2 linked regions of the Rattus norvegicus genome follow. The protein of the gene in region 2 purifies or fractionates together with the protein of the main gene of each other region. This does not show direct contact. Links are inferred from orthologs where the notes say so. Each region holds a gene or a part of one and is shown on either strand. Other genes may lie near its edges. The genes, in order: Fbxw11 and Khdrbs2.

Region 1 (9,671 bases), on a different chromosome or scaffold from region 2:
ACCAGATGGCCCACTTGCCTTCCAGTCAGAAGAAAACCAGGTATGGCTGTATGGCTGAGCTTCTCCACATCCACAAGGTTCTTAACTTTCTAAGATATTTTTATATTTTAAGGAAAAGTTCAGAAGACTCTTGGTGAGTCGTGCTGGGAAGGCCCTACTTAGGGCAAGTTTTTCAATCTTTAGGTTCTTGAGTCCAAGGTAAGTATAGCTCACCAGAACCAACAGGAAGTCTCAAGGAGGCCATGCAGTCACCAAGGGCACTCCTGAGACTGCTTGTCTCTAGTTCTCCAGCCTCCCCCCCGCAACACACACACACACACACACACACACACACACAGAGAGAGAGAGAGAGAGAGAGAGAGAGAGAGAGAGAGAGAGAGAGCGCACTTGCTGATGACTATGCTTACCAAGAACACTACCACCATGTCCGACAACCTCAACTCTCACTCCAATTCTTCCTCTAAACCGGGTTTTCACAAAATGTCACCCTCAGGCCTGGCAGGCAGCCTTGGCCAGGGGTACAGCTGAGCATCAGCCTCTACCTCTATGAAGCTGGTCCCTGCTCCCTCAACTATCAGAGGACCACGGAAGATGAAACACGTGCTCAGCACCACCTATTGGGACACTGACAGAAGAGTGGGCTGTAATTAAAAGAGAGGGTTCTCCCCATCAGTGGACTGTGCTGGCCTGAGTCATTGCTGGCCGCTTGCACTTCATACAAGGACCATCAAGGTGCTCAGCTATCAGCCCAGCTCGGCGGCAGCGAGGCCCGTCTCATACGGGAGCCCTCTTTAACACCTGCCACGCCATCAGCCCAGCTCGGCGGCAGCGCTCCTGTAGAGGAAGGTTTCACGTGGTAGGGAACTTGTAAAATCGCCTTACCCTGTGCAAAATCTCAAAACACTGGGAGAGTAGCCATGATATACAGAGTATACAGCGGCATTTAAATTGGCAATAGAGTGAAAACAGATGTCTGAGTATGGAGGAATAACATTATTTTTAGAAGCCTAAACATAACTGAGTGGGTGGGCAAGTTTCAGCATTTTCTAGCATTTTTAGTTTCTATTCTGTTAATATCGTTTGCAAACCACAAAAAAAGCTTTCCACTTTCCTTGAATGAAATGTGGTTTATTAAAAGGTGTGATACAACACACCGCCATTTTCCCCATGACCAGTTCCAAGGAGAGTGCTTCAAAGCCACTTACCCAGTAAATATACAGAGTCACTACTCTGGAATGGCAGACATTAGTTTGCTTGTAAGAGCAGCAGCCTTCCATCTGCAGAGGCATTGGGAGTGTGGGCGGACAGAGCCTGGGAGTCGGCAGTTTCATCTAACCAAGTCCCTGCGGTGAGTGGACACTGAGCCTTGAAAGTAGCACTGACAAGGATTCTAGACAGTGAGGGAGTGTGTGGCTGCCTCTTGACAGGACACGCCTCAGGTTTACCAGGAGTTCCTTTTCAATTTAGAGGCCTGCAAACCCTCCATGTGGCAAGAACACCCAGGAGGGAGGAACCTTTGCAGAAAGTTAAGAATGTGAACTCTTCTCCACAGACCGTGACTCTCACTTCCCCATTTTCTGAACAGCAGGAGCTAGCCACACAAAACCAGGTTGCCTATTTTTCCTTAAAATACAGTCAATTTCTGGTGGCTTGATGTGAAAGGCAAAGTTGGGAGAAGAACCTTTTCCTCTATGCTCATGATAGCCAAAGCTGAGAATGATGTACTTCAGCAAGCCATCAAGGAGAGCAGTGTCAAACAAGAGTGGGGGTCAAGGGAGAGCCGATCTGTGGAGTGTAAGGGAAGGGATAGTAGACTGGGGAGCTGTGCACAGGCGAGGGCAACGCTACCTTTTCCCTAACAGAACTAAAGCAAGGCCAAGGGATCTCATCTGAACAGTTAAGGAGCTGACTATCCACATTCTTAGAGGAAGACAAGTCTACTGGAATAAAACATGCCTTTCTCCTTCGCTTCCTGAACTTTCTACTTTGGAAATAGCAAACCACTAACTGTAAACCCAGGGCTAGACTGGCCTGAGCTAAAAGTCACCTCTCCTATGTAGCACATTCTAAAACTTCTTTTAGTCTCAGTGTCCCTTTGTGATATGATATGATATGGTATGATATATGATATGATATGAGATGAGATGAGATGATACGATATGGCATGATACAGACCTTGCAAAATTATTGCTTTTATATGTGTAAGTCCCCTCACAGTTCATGGTAGACTACAGGAGTGACAATCGAGGTGCCTTGCAGGTGATATTTTCACCGCAGTCATCATGGACAAGCTCATCTGTGTGCCTCACAGATATGATCACAGAGAGAACTTCCACATTTATGCCTGCCCTGACAGAGCACAGCACACTCCTAAAGGGTCTTGTATGAAGAGCCAGAGTACGTGGTTGGTAGTGGGCTCTAGCACTCAGTAACTGTGTTTGTTAGAGTATATGGATGGCTGTGGACTGTGCCACTCAATAATGTGTCCGTTAGAGTGTGGGGGCTGCACCACTCACTGTGATCCAGGGTTAACAGTTTTACCTTGTCAGCCGTGTTTCCTAGATTTTCGGTGTGGAGTTGACCTACTTTCCAGGGTATCTAGACTACTGAATGAAAAGGTATGCTATACACTACTAAACAAAGTATCAAGTAAGTGTCCTATCAGTGGTACACTGTTTCTGTCACTATTACTATTAGTGAGTACACTGAAGTATAAGCGTCATCCCTCATACTAAGAAACTTAGCCACAAAAATTTGGAGGAGACTCTGTGGCCAGGCATTGGGTTTTCCCAAACCACACTGTAAGAACCACTGGGAAGACCACCATGATGCAGAGGTTTTGTGTCAAACTGTGTTTCCCCATGGCTCCATTTCCCGTCACATCTGCCTCCTCTGCTAGCTGTAAAGTATTTTTTCTGCCTGAGGAAATGGTTATGGTAAGTGCTGTCATCCTGTCAATTATAACGTAGTCATGACAACTAAATAAAATAATCTAAATCACCAAACCTCAATCTGATAAAGGTTCTCCAGAATTCCTGTTTATTAATGAGTGACTTTAAACAACACCCCCTCAGAAGGAACGCTGCATTGAGACCACTCATAAAGTAGGAGAGTCTGTCGACAGACTCTGCCAAAGAACAGAAGGGCATTTCTAAGATGTGCATGCACACAGTGTCTTGGTGCGCCAACCTAGAGCAGCCCCTTCCCTCCTGAAATACACAAGCCCTAACCTGTAATGGCGGTCTGCTCTATGTCGCCCACTAAGTCCTGCAGGACGTTAGTCCAAGTTCTGAACAATAAGTCAATTAATTCCTAAACTTTATGTGGCCATGGTTTAAAATTATTGAGCCCTCCCTAAAAGGTTAGTTTTTAAGTCGTTTTAGAGAGCATACACACAGATGTACCATTAATGGGATGGATCCATTAGTTCACATCTGCCTGAGAAGGAGCAGGGATGAACTCCACAAAAGCACATGGCTCTCCAGTAGGGAATTTTGGCATAATAACTTTTATGTTCATCACCTGGGGAAGAGGATTACTTCCCACTTTGGAAACTGGCTGCAACTTTATGGGAGATACAACACTGGCCATCGAAAGCTCACCTTCTCTGCCACAGAGGACACAGTGGAGAGATTAAGAACATACATGAAAGAGTTAATGAAGAAGTACCTGGGCGTGCCTATCCTGGTTTAAGGGAAAGGGCTTAATAATCAAAGTGAATTAGAGCACACCGACAATATCAAACATGGCTAACATCTCTTAGCAAAAGCACAGAGCTCTGCTGGTCACTGAAGTCAACTTCACAACGGCCCCAAAGCATAACCTGCTTCACAAAGCCCGTTTCATAACAGCTTAGAATAACCTGAGCCATTTTTATGAAAACTTATGCATGACCTAAGAGTAGACTCCATACATGCCTTCCAGAGATGACTCAAAAATACAAAAGTACATTCACCTAAAAAACTGGGCCTTGGATTGTAGAAAATTTATCAAATTAGAATACAGTTTATCTTGGATTAAGGTTTTAATTAACTGGCAGCCTTACAGAAGCATTCTGTGTTTTAGAGAAGTTGTGTTTCGATCAAAAGGTGAGTTCAGCTCTGAAGAGCAGCTACAGATTACACACTGTGACATTCATGTCCAAAACTCAACTTTTAAAAGTGCGAGTTCCATGAGTTTAGAACAAAAGGACTTTGAAACAATATAAAAAATTGAGAACAAGCCCCCAAGGGTGTGAGACAATTAAGTAAACAGTTACCTCTATGTCCTGGATAATCTTTGGGTATAATGATCTATAAAATGAGTTGGGAGGGCCATCTGTAGGTCTGTTTTTAAACAGGTACTGATCCCTGGCAAATGAAAACAAACACATGTTACGTTTTTGCATATAAGAGAAGGGATTTCACTTAAGCATCTTATGAGAACAGCCCGAGGTCCGTGTCTTTTCCTTGCACTAGTGTCAACTGTCAAAGGGAGGGGCTCTAACAAGCTACAGTTCCCATGGTAGACACAATCTAGCTCTGGCATGACGCTGGTCTTTTGTCTTTCGAGTGCTGTCCATCACACAGATAATTAAGCTCTCATTTTAGAGCTTTTTCCCCCTTAAACTTTATTTGTAAAAGCTTGCAAAAAAAAAAAAAAAAAACAACAACAACAACAATAGGACACAAGGAAATGAAGCAGTCGCAAAGTCTATACATTTTAATGAATGTCTTAAAAATTACAATAGGCATTCTGAAGCCATGAACTTCACACTAGACTTCACACTTTCAGGATCAAATATATCTTTATGTCTTATCCACTACGAAAAACGAAAACTCCATGCTAGAGTTACAATCAGGAGAACAATTAGCTTGCTATCCCTTTTCAAAATTCCTCATGCCCATTAGCCACACTCAGTCCTTCCTCCGCAGGACTGTGCCGTCCAGTGTGGAGTTCTGTCAGACTGCACCCACATGGAGAGTAAGTGCTAACGACGTCTGTGAATCGTCTTATTTCACATTACATTTCCCCCATATGGAAAATGCAGCGTCGCCCTCCATCTTCCCTTCTTGTGCCTGACTGTAACTCTCTATGCTGACTGAGCCGGATCACTGACAATGCAAGCTATCAAACTGCATCTAAGCTCATGGGCTTTCCTAGAAACCCCATGGTGTGTTTCCACTCTTCCCCGTGCACAGCAGTAAACACAGAAATGGCCTAACTCAGGCTGCTGGAATAGCTCAGTGACAGAGCAGTTGGTTCAATCCTAGCAATTACAAAACTAAGTAACATTACTAGACTCTCATATTTTCCTTTAACAATTTGTTTTATGTGTGGGGGTTTTGCTTGTGTATAAGTCTGTGCACCACATGTGTGCCTGCTCCCCATGGAGGCCAGAAGAGGGCATCAGATCCTCTGGAACTAGAGCACCAGACTGTTGTAAGCTACTAGGTAGGTGCTGGGAATTGAATCGAGGTCCTCTGAATGAACAGCCCATGTTAACCACTGATGGATTTCTCTAGCTCCAGCTCTCTTACCTGTCTATGATGGGAGGAAGCACACATTTAGAGCTTTAAAAAGATGAATGTGTCACCCACCTGAGGCCTTAAAACCTTTGTACCAACAAACCCGTGTCAGAGGAGGAGCCTCTAACAGCTTAGACTTTCATTTTCTTCCTTGTTGAAACAGACTACACATTCACAAGCATTTGCCTGAGTAATCAAGCTGACAGTACACCACAGGAACGTTTTCCAAACAAGCCCGTACTTACCAGCCTCTTCTTTCTGAGAGTCCCTTCCAGAGAGGGTCGGTGCGCACCATCCTCTCGATCAGCTTCTTCCAAAGCATCCCCTCGGAGATCACCCGCTGCCACTCTTTACACACCAGCTCTGCTGCACACAGAGACCTGGCATCCAGGTAGGAAAGAATGTTCTCTGCTATGTGATCTAAGCCTTGCTCTACAACACAGAAAATCAAGGGAAGGAGTGGGTAGGGCAGTGCACAGACCAGTCCTTACTCCAAAGGAAAAGGTAAGTAACTCTTTTTTTTTTTTTTTTTTTTTTGGTTCTTTTTTTTTTTTTGGAGCTGGGGACCGAACCCAGGGCCTTGCGCTTCCTAGGTAAGCGCTCTACCACTGAGCTAAATCCCCAACCCCGGTAAGTAACTCTTAAGGCAGGCACAATAAGCACAAGCAAAGCATGGAAAGGCTCAGGAACTGTCTTGCCATGACAGCTGCCCTGGGACAGCTCTGTCCTTGGAATTCTCAGAAGCCCCTCCCCATTTTTCTGCTGAACTTTAAAAGGCCAATGGTTCTCCAAAGTTACAGCCAAGGAACACAGAGGGAAAGCTCTTGGGCTGTGCTCTGTAGTGAAGCCAGAATGGGAACTCATGCTGTCTTGCTTCAAAACCTGTGCTTTTGCTCATATTGTGAACATGAGCAATAAACCACACTCCACCATGAACTCTTGACAGCCATGGGACCAAATGGCAAGACTGACCCATTTTTTAAAACATATGAAGATTTAAAAAGTGTTCAAGTCATGCTAGAGAGAAGGCTCCGAGGTTAAGAGCACTGCTCCAGAAGAGTAGTAATTCAATTCCCAGCATCCACATGGTGGCTCACAACCATCTGAAATGGGATCAGATGCCCTCTTCTGGTGTGTCTGAAGACAGCTACAGTGTACTCACATACATAAAATAAATAAATCTAAAAAACTGAAAGTAAAGAAAGGTAAGTGTTCATGTCAGTCTTCTAATCTCCTCTGACAAAGAACTGCTTTCTGTTCTGAGCAGATGGGTAAGAACCCTCAGAGCAATGTCCTGCTTCCTCACTCACTCCAGGACTTTGGGAAGAGCCTGCTCGATCTACAGACCTGAGGAACCCAGAGTGGAAGGACATAACCAACTCCCAAAAGTTGTTCTTTCACCTCCATAGAGTTGGGAGTGTTGTGGTACACACACACACACACACACACGCACGCACAGGCACGCGTGCACACACACACAGGCACAGGCATGCGTGCACACACACACACAGGCACAGGCACGCGTGCACACACACACGCACACACGCACACACACACACACACACACACACACAGGCATGCGCACGCACACACACACACACATGGCAGAAATAAGAGGAAAATGCAAGGGCCTTGCAGAGAAGTTCACTCAAGGTCCAGCTCTGCCTGAGCTTTGCCATGGAAGAGCACCATGGGTAGCACTGTCACTGCCTGTTGCATTCCTTCTTGTACTTGTAGGTGTCGCTCTGTGGCTACAGAAAGCACTCCTCATCCCCAAGTGTGGAACATCCACATTCCATGTCCCAAGTTCAGTGTGCGCTGCTGGTCGCATGACGCAAACCAGACACTGAAACAACCCTGCCTCAGTAGCAGCGGCTGCTGCCTCCATCCCCTCCTCACAGAGTGTGGTCAAGAAAGGCTGACTGTGAGAATCGACACAAAATGACGCGTAAGGAATTCTGTCCACCCAGATGTGGTGGGCGCCCATGCCTGACATTTTAGTTGGAGGCGGGGATGTTTCACAAATGGAGATTGCCTTACTGTCTCAGAGTGACATGGTCACACTGCTGATGACAGCCCCAAGCCTTTCATATACTGATTCTATCCTGGACTGGATCTAAGACCCAGCTCCACCCGAGGCACCACTGCTATGCTGTTTACTTGAATTACCTTAGGGTCACACAATCAAAGACTGACCTCCTGCCCCTAAGGGCCATATCAGAGCAGGCTCCTGAGACGGTTACAAGTTAAAATAAATCCCATGTCCTTCTCCCCAGTTGCTATTAAAATGATTGATTCCCTTCAATTCTGACTTGCCCACCAGTGGGACAGGATCACAGCACTTCCTGCTTATCCCTACCGTAATTCAGCTTCAACATTTCCACGTGGCCCGGCCACTGCAGTCTCGAGAATTCTGGTTTTTAGCATCCAGAAAACGGATATTTCTCGGCAGACTACATAAGGAGCAGACCACCTTTACCCGCAGCTGACTACAAAGATGGGGAACGGGTCAGAACCAAGGACAGCACCCAGGACGGTGGCGCTCCCCTGCAGGCTATTCCTGATGACTCTGGTAATACTCCAGGGTCCCAAGACTCAGGTGCCAGCTCAGTGAGACATACAGACAATCCAGTCCACATCTGTCACTTCAGTCCCTAGGGACATGCGGACAGGCTCCCATGAAGACACTGCCGTCTGTAGCTCATTCTTCTGACCTTGACTTGGGAGGAGCCCACTGAGTCTGGCTCACTCTGGTACTTACTTACTAGTTGCTCTGCGTCCCTCCTAACATACACAATCCATGCTTTTTGGAGAAAAATTACAAAACACACATAAACAAATTAACTGCCAGCTCTAAAGCCCTTATCCAAGCGATCTTTCACACCCTGCATTCACCTGTTGGAAGATTATCCACCCTTCCTAATCTTTCCAGGTGCCAATTAACTTTTTTTAAATTAAGATGAGCTGAAGAATAATATCCAGCGTAACATATGCGTTCTATAAATGCCTCCTCGGTTCTTTTTTAAAAATATTTATTTATTTATTATATATAAGTACACTGTAGCTGTCTTCAGACACACCAGAAGAGGGCATCAGATCCCATTTACAGGTGGTTGTGATCCACCATATGGTTGCTGGGAATTGAACTCAGGACCTCTGGAGGAGCAGTCAGTGCTCTTAACCACTGAGCTATCTCTCCAGCCTGCCTTCCCAGTTCTTTTTTTTTTTTTTTTTTTTTTTTGGTTCTTTTTTTTTCCCCCCCGAAGCTGGGGACCGAACCCAGGGCCTTGCGCTTCCTAGGCAAGCGCTCTACCACTGAGCTAAATCCCCAACCCCGCATCCCCAGTTCTTAAAAGTTGGAGACTTGTCTGACAGTCTCCTCTGGGCACCATCAGGCAGGACTAAGAGCCCAGCTGCACCAATACTCAGTCACTTCTCAGAACTCCCCAGTTCTGAACAGCAGTCCCAGGCCCTGTCGCTACCCCACAAATTTGCTTGCAGGATTTCTAAATATATTCACATCTTTCTGGGCCACATTTTTTTTCCTTTACTGTTTAAGAGACAGAAAGACCAGAGTGGAGATAGACCATGCTGCCATCTCCAGCTCAGCATCCCTACATTCCTTGTAACTCCCTCCAGGTGGTTGGCTACTTGGCTTCAACTCTCCTTCTCTAGACAATCTGACACGATGTCCAATGGATTCTTGATACCATTCTCCAAAGCCCAGCCCCCTTCTGTGAGCCATATGTTCGCCTCTCCTACAGCTTCTGTGTGTAGTCACACAGGTCTGCCTCTCTCCACACCACAGCTACAACTACGGACTCAAATTACAGAATCTCTCAGCTGCCGAAAGCCGAGTCTATAACTTATCCAAATATAATCACATTAAAATCATGCTTGATCACATTCTCTAGCCACAGGGTGACACACTTGGTTCTTCTTGGATTTCTCCAAAGCTGGGGGCTCACAGACTTCCTCCCACACAGGATATTAACATGACTTTACATGACTCCCATGACTTCCGCCCCACTAACTGGATCCTCCTAATTGGTTATAAACATGCCCTTACCAATTCCCCCTTCAAATCCTCTATTCTTGGAAAGATGAAACAAATAGCAAGACATTAGAACATACATTAGAATGCCAGCTGCCTTTCCAGATCTC
Region 2 (9,671 bases):
GGGGTCTTGAGCCCCTTCAAGCTCTTCCAGTTCTTTCTCTGATTCCTTCAACTGGGGTCCTATTCTCAGTTCAGTGGTTTGCTGCTGGCATTCGCCTCTGTGTTTGCTGTATTCTGGCTGTGTCTCTCAGGAGCGATCTACATCCGGCTCCTGTCGGTCTGCACTTCTTTGCTTCATCCATCTTGTCTAATTGGGTGGCTGTATATGTATGGGCCACATGTGGGGCAGGCTCTGAATGGTTGTTCCTTCAGTCTCTGTTTTAATTTTTGCCTCTCTATTCCCTGCCAAGGGTATTCTTCTTCCCCTTTTAAAGAAGGAGTGAAGCATTCACATTTTGATCATCCGTCTTGAGTTTCATTTGTTCTAGGCATCTAGGGTAATTCAAGCATTTGGGCTAATAGCCACTTATCAATGAGTGCATACCATGTGTGTTTTTCTGTGATTGGGTTACCTCACTCAGGATGATATTTTCCAGTTCCAACTATTTGCCTACGAATTTCATAAAGTCATTGTTTTTGATAGCTGAGTAATATTCCATTGTGTAGATGTACCATATTTTCTGTATCCATTCCTCTGTTGAAGGGCATCTGGGTTCTTTCCAGCTTCTGGCTATTATAAATAAGGCTGCGAAGAACATAGTGGAGCACGTGTCTTTTTTATATGTTGGGGCATCTTTTGGGTATATGCCCAAGAGAGGTATAGCTGGATCCTCAGGCAGTTCAATGTCCAATTTTCTGAGGAACCTCCAGACTGATTTCCAGAATGGTTGTACCAGTCTGCAACCCCACTAACAATGGAGGAGTGTTCCTCTTTCTCCACATCCTCTCCAGCATCTGCTGTCACCTGAGTTTTTGATCTTAGCCATTCTCACTGGTGTGAGGTGAAATCTCAGGGTTGTTTTGATTTGCATTTCCCTTATGACTAAAGATGTTGAGTTAACCTAAAAACTAAATTAGCATGTAACACAAACACTCCACCTTTTGCGTTCATCAAAGCAAGCTTATTTGAAACTTTTGAGATAATATTATCTCAAGTGAATTTAATGTTAAAAATATGCAATTGACCTAAAAATGTAACTTTGTAGTCAGGTGCATCATGTTCCAGAATTCAAACCCTTAAAACAAAACCATAATCAAGTGATTTGCTCCCTCCCAGGGGAACAGGGTAAGCTCTAACTTCTCTGGTATTAAAACATATGGCAGGGACTTACACTTGAAACTTATCTGCATTACTAAGTATCATCATTGCATGAAAATCTAAAGCTGATTTGCTTGCTTACCATAAGTTTTTTATTTATCTGAAGTGGGAGAAGAGCTCACTATATTTGCCTGCTTGGGTGTTCAACACTGGCTTCTCTTGTTTTAGCTCCAGGGTAGTAGGGATTGCAGACATACATCACCAAAGCAACTTAGATTTCCCTCTTGCCAGGATGAAATGCTAAAACTCACCCAACATACAGAAAACACCATGGCGTTTAATTCACATCCAGATTGCACAGTTTCTAAAAATCATTTCCTGTTTCTTGCACTCTTTTCAAAGTCTGTTGTCCTGGAAATATATGACAGAACACAATCTTTTGGAAAACCATATTTCCAAACACTTGTGTTTTAATTACCAGAACTAAATGCAAGCCAGAGGTGAATTCCAACAATTTAAACCTGGAAACAAGTCTAGTCATTGTCATGTCTAAACCGTATATTGTTTTAGTTTGTTGTGCTACAAGGAAAATGCCTAGAAATCCACTCAGTATTTTCTGATGGGTCAAGTTGAGTACATGTAACTCAGTATATGGGAAAGGACTCTCTTTTCTGGAGATGTTCCCTGGTGGATATTGATAAGATCCTGAGTCAATATAGTGATATGCCTGCCTCAGCTTACACAGGTTGCTCCTTTAAGTCACATTTGGGCTTCTATTCAAAGGATGCTTTGTAAGTTAAGTTGTGATGCATAGTTTAAATGGCAACATGGTATAGTGAATATCAATTGAGAAGAAAGTCTCAATGGAGGAATGATCTCAGGTAAAACTGGCTCAGGTAAAGGACAACATTGAATTGGGGCTGGCTTACAGATTCAGAGGTTCAGTCCATTATCATCAAGGCAGGAGCATGGCAGCATCCAGACAGGCATGATGCAGGAGGAGCTGAGAGTTCTATATCTTCACTGGATGGAAGCCAGAAGCAGACTGGGCATCCTCGGGCAGCTAGGAGGAGGGTCTCCAAGCCCACCCCCACAGTGACACACTTCCTCCAACAAGGCCATACCTTCTAATAGTGCCTCTCCCTGGGCCAAGCATATGCAAACCATCACTGTGTGTATGTGTGTGTTTGTGTGTGTGTGTGTGTGTGTGTGTGTGTGTGTGCGTGTGTGTGTAGAAAACAAAATGTTTGGAGGCATAGCTGAATGTAAGCTGCCCAATATTGTTTCCAGGAACACAGCTCCTATTCTCTAACAAAGCAACAAGTACCATTAAGCGCTGAGTTTCGCCCCAGCCTCCTTAATATATATTGTTAAAATCTGTGCAAGGATCCTCCTCATTGTTCAGAAATTTTGTCTCATGTTAATAGTGATGGTGGGCTGCCTTAGTGCAGAATAAAAAAGGACACAGTTGCAGCAGCAGCAACTGTAATAGAACCGTGTCTACTTTACATCATGATCATGAGAAAGCATCTCATACCTTATATTACTTTTTTGCTGAGTAACTCATGTCTTTTTATTGGAGAAATGTCTCTGGTCCAATGCTGGATCCAGCATTGCTGTTTAAGGGGAGGTGTCACACATTTCCTGCCCCTGGAGCATCCCAAAGCCATTGATCCCCACATGTGCTGATGACTGATGCCCTAAAACTGACCTGCTTTCTCTTTCATTTCATCTTCAATCACTCTTTTGGGGGAACTTACTTCCCCCATTCCTCAGAGCTAATGACTCCATAATAAATGAAACAGATGTGGCTCTCAAGATTGAGGAATTGAGGTGATCACGAGATTGTGAAAGACAAAGAACAGGCCTTCTGCTGGGCCTTCGAAGGCATGCGGAAGGATCTAGACAACATAACCACAGAGGCCGTAAAAGCCTACATGCTCCTTTGTAGAATGGTTCATTGCCAGACTTGGACTTGAATTTGGAATTAGGAGGAGATGCTTGTACCATCTGCCTCAATGACTGCTACAGTCATTAGCCAGGGTGAACTTGGGGACATCAAGGGACGAGAGTCTCAAGATGAAAAGTCATGGATAGGAAAAGAAGAAATCTATAAATGCAAGCAAATGATAGGTGAGCTTGTCTTATAGGAGAAAGGCTTATATATGATCTAGAAATAAATACTATTAGAAAGAGAGTACATGGAGCTCTGGGTTTGCTAGGATAGGAATCAAGGATTGGAGAATTATAAGATGATGCACAAGCAAATAAAAAGTTAGTGCTTTGTTCTCCTGGAAGACAGGATATGGCAATTTAGATTGAAGGAGATATTAAAGATAGCTGCATGCTTTAAGTGCATAAATTTTAAAATTTTGTAAGAGATTATTTTAATCTTAGTAGTCTATCACTGTTCTGTTTTTACATGAAGGGGATTACTAAAGACCGCTGTCTGCTGTACCAAGAAACCTCAAGAGCTGTGCCCAGCTACTTGTGAAGAGTAGACTGTGTAAAACTATAAGAAAATGTGCTTTTGCTTTGAGTTTAGTTTCTGTTTTAAGGAAGCAGGGCTCTGGGATTCATAAAATTTAAGTAAATTTAAGGATTTCCAAAAAAAAAATCCTTAACAATATTCAAACCTTGATGATGTAGGTTTGGTTAAAAAAATCTGGGTTCAGTCTCTCTGGTAGGGAGAAGGCAAAGGATGAGAAGGGAGAAGGAAGAAAGGAGAGGCAAGAATGATGAGAATCCTCAGGTAAAGAGCGAGCCCTTGAGCTGACTGAATGCTTCCACAACTGACTCCTGGTCATTGTTGAATCACCGCTGCTCCCATATCCCCTTCTCAGGACCCTCCTTACACTGAGGCTGGTTCTCAGCAGTTAGAGCACTTTCTGCTCTTGAAGAGGACCTCGGTTCAGCATCCAGTATGAACACAATGGCACCCAACCACCAGTTTCTGCAGTTTCAGGGTACCCGATACCCTCTTCACTGGCCTTCATGGGCAAAAGGCATAAACTTCATATACATTTGTTCAGACAAAACACACATACATATAAAAGAAAAATAAATGTATCTTATAAAGTAATCCATGCATTCTTGGAACTACACTGTCCACACATGCAGGGTACCACTGAACACCTATAATTTTGTTTTGTGATGTATGTATGTGCTATTAATCAGTGAACCATCTCTCCAGTCCCTGGCCTCCTTTTTTAGTAGTTTGGAACCACTTAACCATTGAGTTTCCATAAAACCTTTTAATATATCTTTAACATTGATTATTCTAAACAAGAACTTCCTCTCCCTTCTTGCTCCAGCCCCCTCGCCCAACTTTGTCTTTTAGTTGCAGGTACCTCTCTTCTCTTCCATAGTATATATATATATATATATATATATATATATATATATATATATATATATATATATATATATATTTTCCCTACCTCTTAGCTCCTCCACATGATGATACTCCTGCCTGCCAGAGTCTTTCTACCCCCACATAGCATTCACCTCTTTAGTTATCCTGATCTACAATCTCCTATTCCTTTCCTTCACTTATGTCTCTTGCCAATAACTTTTTTCTATTAATTTCTCTGGCTTCTGCCTGGGATACAACTTACACATGCCAAACACTAAGTCTGAAGTGAGAATTCCACTTACAAGAGGGAACCTCTGCTTTTTGTCCTTCATGGCTTTGCATATTAGGATCTATTGATGTTCTATTCAGTTACCTGAACATTGGGCTATTTTGGTCTCCAATAACAGCTGAGTGATATATATATATATATATATCATATTTCTATTACATTCTTATCTTGTTTATGAATGTCTAGGTCAGGTACATTTCTAGCTAGTGACAAGAGAGTGGCAGTTGAAGTGTCTCTGTAAAGATAGAAAGTCTTTGCGTGTATGCCCTGGAGTATAGGCCCATATGGCACTTCTAGTTTTTGAGAAACTTCTGGTCTAAATTCTACAGTGGCTACACTAGCTTTCACTCCCATCAAAAGTGTAAACCATTCCACCTTTATCACATCCACATATGCAGGGTTGGCATTACCTTCACAATGATGGCCATTCAAACTGGAATAAGATGGCCTTTTAAACTAGACCTTATTTCTGTTTCCCTAATGACTTTGACTGGGATTATTTTTAAAGATGCTTTTGAGCCCCCTTTATTTCTTAAGCAAAGTTTGTTCAATTTGAAATTCTAACGGTATTGGTTTGGTTTAACTTTTTTGTTAGTCTGTTTGGTTTTCTTTTTTTTCTCTGTGATAATTTTGGCAACGGGGGAACTGGCTGAAAGAGGAAACCTTGTTTCCCACCATTTCTTTCATGTAATTTCAGCTAATATTAAAACTCTGATGTTCCTGTACAACTCAATGAAAATCTACTTATTATTCGAAAAGTACTTTACACCAGACAGGAAAGAACCTTGTTCTCCCAAAAATGCAATGATGTTTCCAGAAACATCATTCCAGAAACTGCCCTTAGATGCCTTGGCTTCATGAGGTTAACATTTCATCAAACTGATTAAAAATTGTGTGGTTGAGGACAATGGCAGGTTTCTTCAAAATCCACATGAAGCTCAACAAGAAGGACGACCAAACTTCAGATGCTTCAGTCCTTCTTAGAAGGGGGAACAAAAATAGTCATAGGAGGAGACATGGAGACAAAGTTTGGAGCAGAGACTGAAGGAATAGCCATTCAGAGCCTACCCCACCTGAGGATCCATATACAGCCACCAAACTCAGAAAACACTGATGATGTCAAGAAGTGCATGCTGACAGGAGCCTGATATAGCTGTGTCCTGAGATGCTCTGCCGTAACATGACAAATACAGAGGCAAATGTTAGCAGCCAACCATTGAACTGAGAATGGTGTCTCCATTGGAGGAGTTAGAGAAAGGATTATGGAGCTGAAGGGATTTGTAACCCCGTTAAAAACAACAATATCAACCAACCAGAGCTCCCAGGGACTAAAGCACCATTCAAAGAGTACACATGGACAGATCCATGGTTCTAGCTACATATGGAACAGAGAATGGCCTTGTTGGGCACCAATGGGAAGAAAAGCCCTTTGTCCTATCAAGGCGGGACAACCTCCCCTCCCCACCCCGTGTAAGGAATGTCAGGTGAGGTGAGAAGGAGTGGGTGGTTGGGTGGGGGAAAGCAGATAACATTTGAAATTAAATAAAAAATATCCAATAAAAAATGAAAAGGGAAAAAATATCCAAATTTGAAAATGGTTAACCAACTTGCAGTGAAGTTTTATTTCTCAAAGAATTTCTTTCCACCTTTGGAAAATTTGCTTAGATTATGGCCCTTTGTCATATTCTCAGGAAATGTTAAATCAATGTAAAATGAGTGCATCCATATTTCTAAATATAACTTCTTTACAGGAAGAAGAGCTGAGGAAGAGTGGGGAGGCCAAGTATGCCCACCTGAGTGACGAACTGCACGTATTAATTGAAGTGTTTGCTCCACCCGGGGAAGCTTACTCACGGATGAGTCATGCTTTGGAAGAGATTAAAAAATTCCTGGTTCCTGTAAGTGACTTTGATTTTACAAATGGTTCCTTATCAGTTTCTATTTTAAGTTGTGTCTTTGATCTCCATTGATTTTTGAAAGTGACTTCACATTGCACATTAGTTATCTATGCATAGATTATTCCGACAAAAGTATTCACCACCAACCAGTTATATAGTATACACGAGTCCACAGCCAGGAAGAATAAGAATAATAAGAATAACAAGCAAAGATACATTATTTATGCCACATTTCCCTGCTTTGAGCCCTTGACATGTAGTTTGAAAATTTATAATTAGTACAAAAGGTATAATTAAAAAGGGATGGAATTGAATATTATTTATAATAAAACATTCACAGTACTTTAGAATAGTTAATGATTTTTATGTGACAGTATGTCAGGTGCTGGCTGATACAAAATAGCACATAAGATCATGTTAATGAAGGCAGATAAATGTCAACTTAAAAAGTTAGAAATATAAACTCACTAGGCAGTGTGAGCATAATGGGGGATGCTCACCTGCCAATTCAACTGCAAGTTGAATGGAGTTCTCTGCTGATAAAGAAGAAGTAGGAGGAGGTAAGTGCACGGAGTCTTAAGGATGAAAAAGGAGCATTCTAGGAAGAGGTCTTTCAATAGAAATCTTGCCATGAGTTTTAGTGCTGCGGTATTGAGAGACTGCTGAGTAATGTTCCGTGGACGATCTTGGGGAAATCCTGAGCTCAGAGAGTGGTTCTCTGAGATTCATCTGCAAAGGAAGAAACTAGGGGTTTGAACACTCAGTAAAAACTTCAAAGAATATTCCATTTTTGGTTTATTGATTAGTAATAACATTGAAAACTGGGAAGCAAAAGTATCTTAGAATTTTCTAGGTGTATAAACATTAAGGTCTATCCACGTTTTCTAGTCACATGTCCGACCCAAACATTAATCTTTGTCAAGACACGATTGCAGAATAATGCCTCACTAAGTTGAGTATTTCTTAACTTCAGGAACACGGTTATTAATTGGGTCTCATCATCTGGAAACCTTCCTAAATATATCCCATTCTCAAGATGGATGAACCTACATTCTTTCTTCCATTGGTTTCCAAGGGAATATTTAGCGCTAGGCTGAGTAAGCCATTTTAGTCAATTTACTACAGAACAGAACAGATACATGTATGTGCAGTGAGGCCAGGACTGCTTATATCACAAATTTATTGTATAGCTTTAGCTAAGTTACTTAAGTTAGCATCCGTTTGTGCATCTTCAAAATGAAAGTGATCACAGCTTAATTAGTCACAACTAGTATCAATATCAAACAGGATAATACATGCAAAGGGGATTAAAATAGGAAAACACTGTAGAAATGTACTTTTAAGTCTATTATAGTAGAAAAACTTTCTGAGGTAAAATGTGTTAGACACAGTAATATGACTTTTTTTTGGATATATATTCTTTCCTCCCTTTAAACTTTCTCATATAATGCTCCCTGATCTACTTCAAGTTCTTGGCCTCTTTTTAACCAATTGTTCTTTTATTCCTACTTATTTTATTCCAATCTTTATACTGTTCATTTTAGCATGTCTTTGATGCATATATTTTGAACATAGAATGCATGGTAAGTCCATGCCCTTGCATACTGAATGTAAATGATATGTATCACTTTCTTATATATTATACCTTGTAATCAGTCCATTTCTAAATTATGCACTAAAACATGAATGCTTGGCATGCTTGGCAATTTCTTTCTGTGCCAACATTGTCTCTTCTCCATTTAGCAGGGTTTTCTCAGTTTTTCTAATGCTGCATCCCTTTTACAGTTGTGCTGGCCCCGAACAACAAAATCATTGTCATTGCCCCTTCATACCATGATGTCATGTAAATACCTGTGTTTTGCAATATTCCTATGTAACCCTGTGAAAGAGTCATTCAAACTCCACAGGCAGAGAATGGCTGTTAGCACCTTTGCTAACAGTGTTTTTCTGAAATGACTGAACCAAATTTAGCAGAAAAGCACACAAGGCAAATGCAGTTAGGCCACATGTCTAATCCATGGGGACCATTTAAATATAGGCTCTACCCTGCCTCTGCCATATCTGTGAATTCTGCTCTGTAATCCACTTGTCTCATCCTGTGTTCTTTTATTCTTTTTGGCTCTTGCTTATGCAACATAGAAGCTCACTGCTAACTCTAGAGGCTTGGAGTTTCTTCTCAAAACTTAACATGTCTGTTCCTTTCCCTTTTAGCATCTTCTCAAATCTTACATGCATAGGAACTTCTTCAACCTCAAATCTAAAGTAGCTTCCTTGGTGGCTTTCTACCAGGCAGTGCTGTTGTGACAGGCCCATACATCACTGATAACTCCATTCAAAATAGTGATTCACTGTCCTTACCCTCTCTCCCTATTTATTTCTCTCACAGTTTTTTATTATAATCATATCTTATATAGAGTGATATGGAGGAAGATTGTAAATGATAGATGGATAAATGGATAGATAGATGGTAGAATATAATAGATAGATGACAGATACATACATACTTACATACATACATACATACATACATACATACATACATACATACATACATGCACAGACCTCTTTATGGTTTGTTTACCTCTTAGAACATGAGTGTCCTGAGGGTTGTGGCTGTGAACCTATTCCCCAATAATTTTTATAGGCCATACCATTTGTGACAGTCCTTCTGAATGTTTCTCTTTTTCCCTTTCTTAGCTCCAGGCAAAGGATAGTATTTCTTTACCTTATCTATTACCAGAACCACAAAGAGATTAGATAGATAGATAGATAGATAGATAGATAGATAGATAGATAGATAGATAGATAGATAGATAGATGATGACAACATCACAAGACATTAATATTTATAAACATCAGAGGTGACAATTCATATCAGGAAGTTGGATGCTAGAACAATACAGAAGACCTATTCAGGCCAGAACTCTGACATTCTACTGACATCTTCTTCCTCTGTAAAGTTGTATCTTTTCATCATAGGAACTTTTCATCT

What was found.
Region 1: the proteins of Khdrbs2 (region 2) and Fbxw11 purify together in Homo sapiens (affinity purification with mass spectrometry; 3 studies listed by BioGRID and IntAct, counting the BioPlex papers as one, with this or other methods). This does not show direct contact. The link is inferred for Rattus norvegicus from reciprocal best matches to the Homo sapiens genes KHDRBS2 and FBXW11.

The regions. Positions count from the first base shown.
Region 1 is NC_086028.1:17,810,023-17,819,693, reverse strand, and holds part of Fbxw11 (F-box/WD repeat-containing protein 11), read right to left. Parts: intron 5,940-9,671; coding exon 5,753-5,939; intron 4,350-5,752; coding exon 4,259-4,349; intron 1-4,258.
Region 2 is NC_086027.1:42,149,122-42,158,792, forward strand, and holds part of Khdrbs2 (KH domain-containing, RNA-binding, signal transduction-associated protein 2), read left to right. Parts: intron 1-6,532; coding exon 6,533-6,679; intron 6,680-9,671. UniProt on the Homo sapiens protein: RNA-binding protein that plays a role in the regulation of alternative splicing and influences mRNA splice site selection and exon inclusion. Binds both poly(A) and poly(U) homopolymers. Phosphorylation by PTK6 inhibits its RNA-binding ability.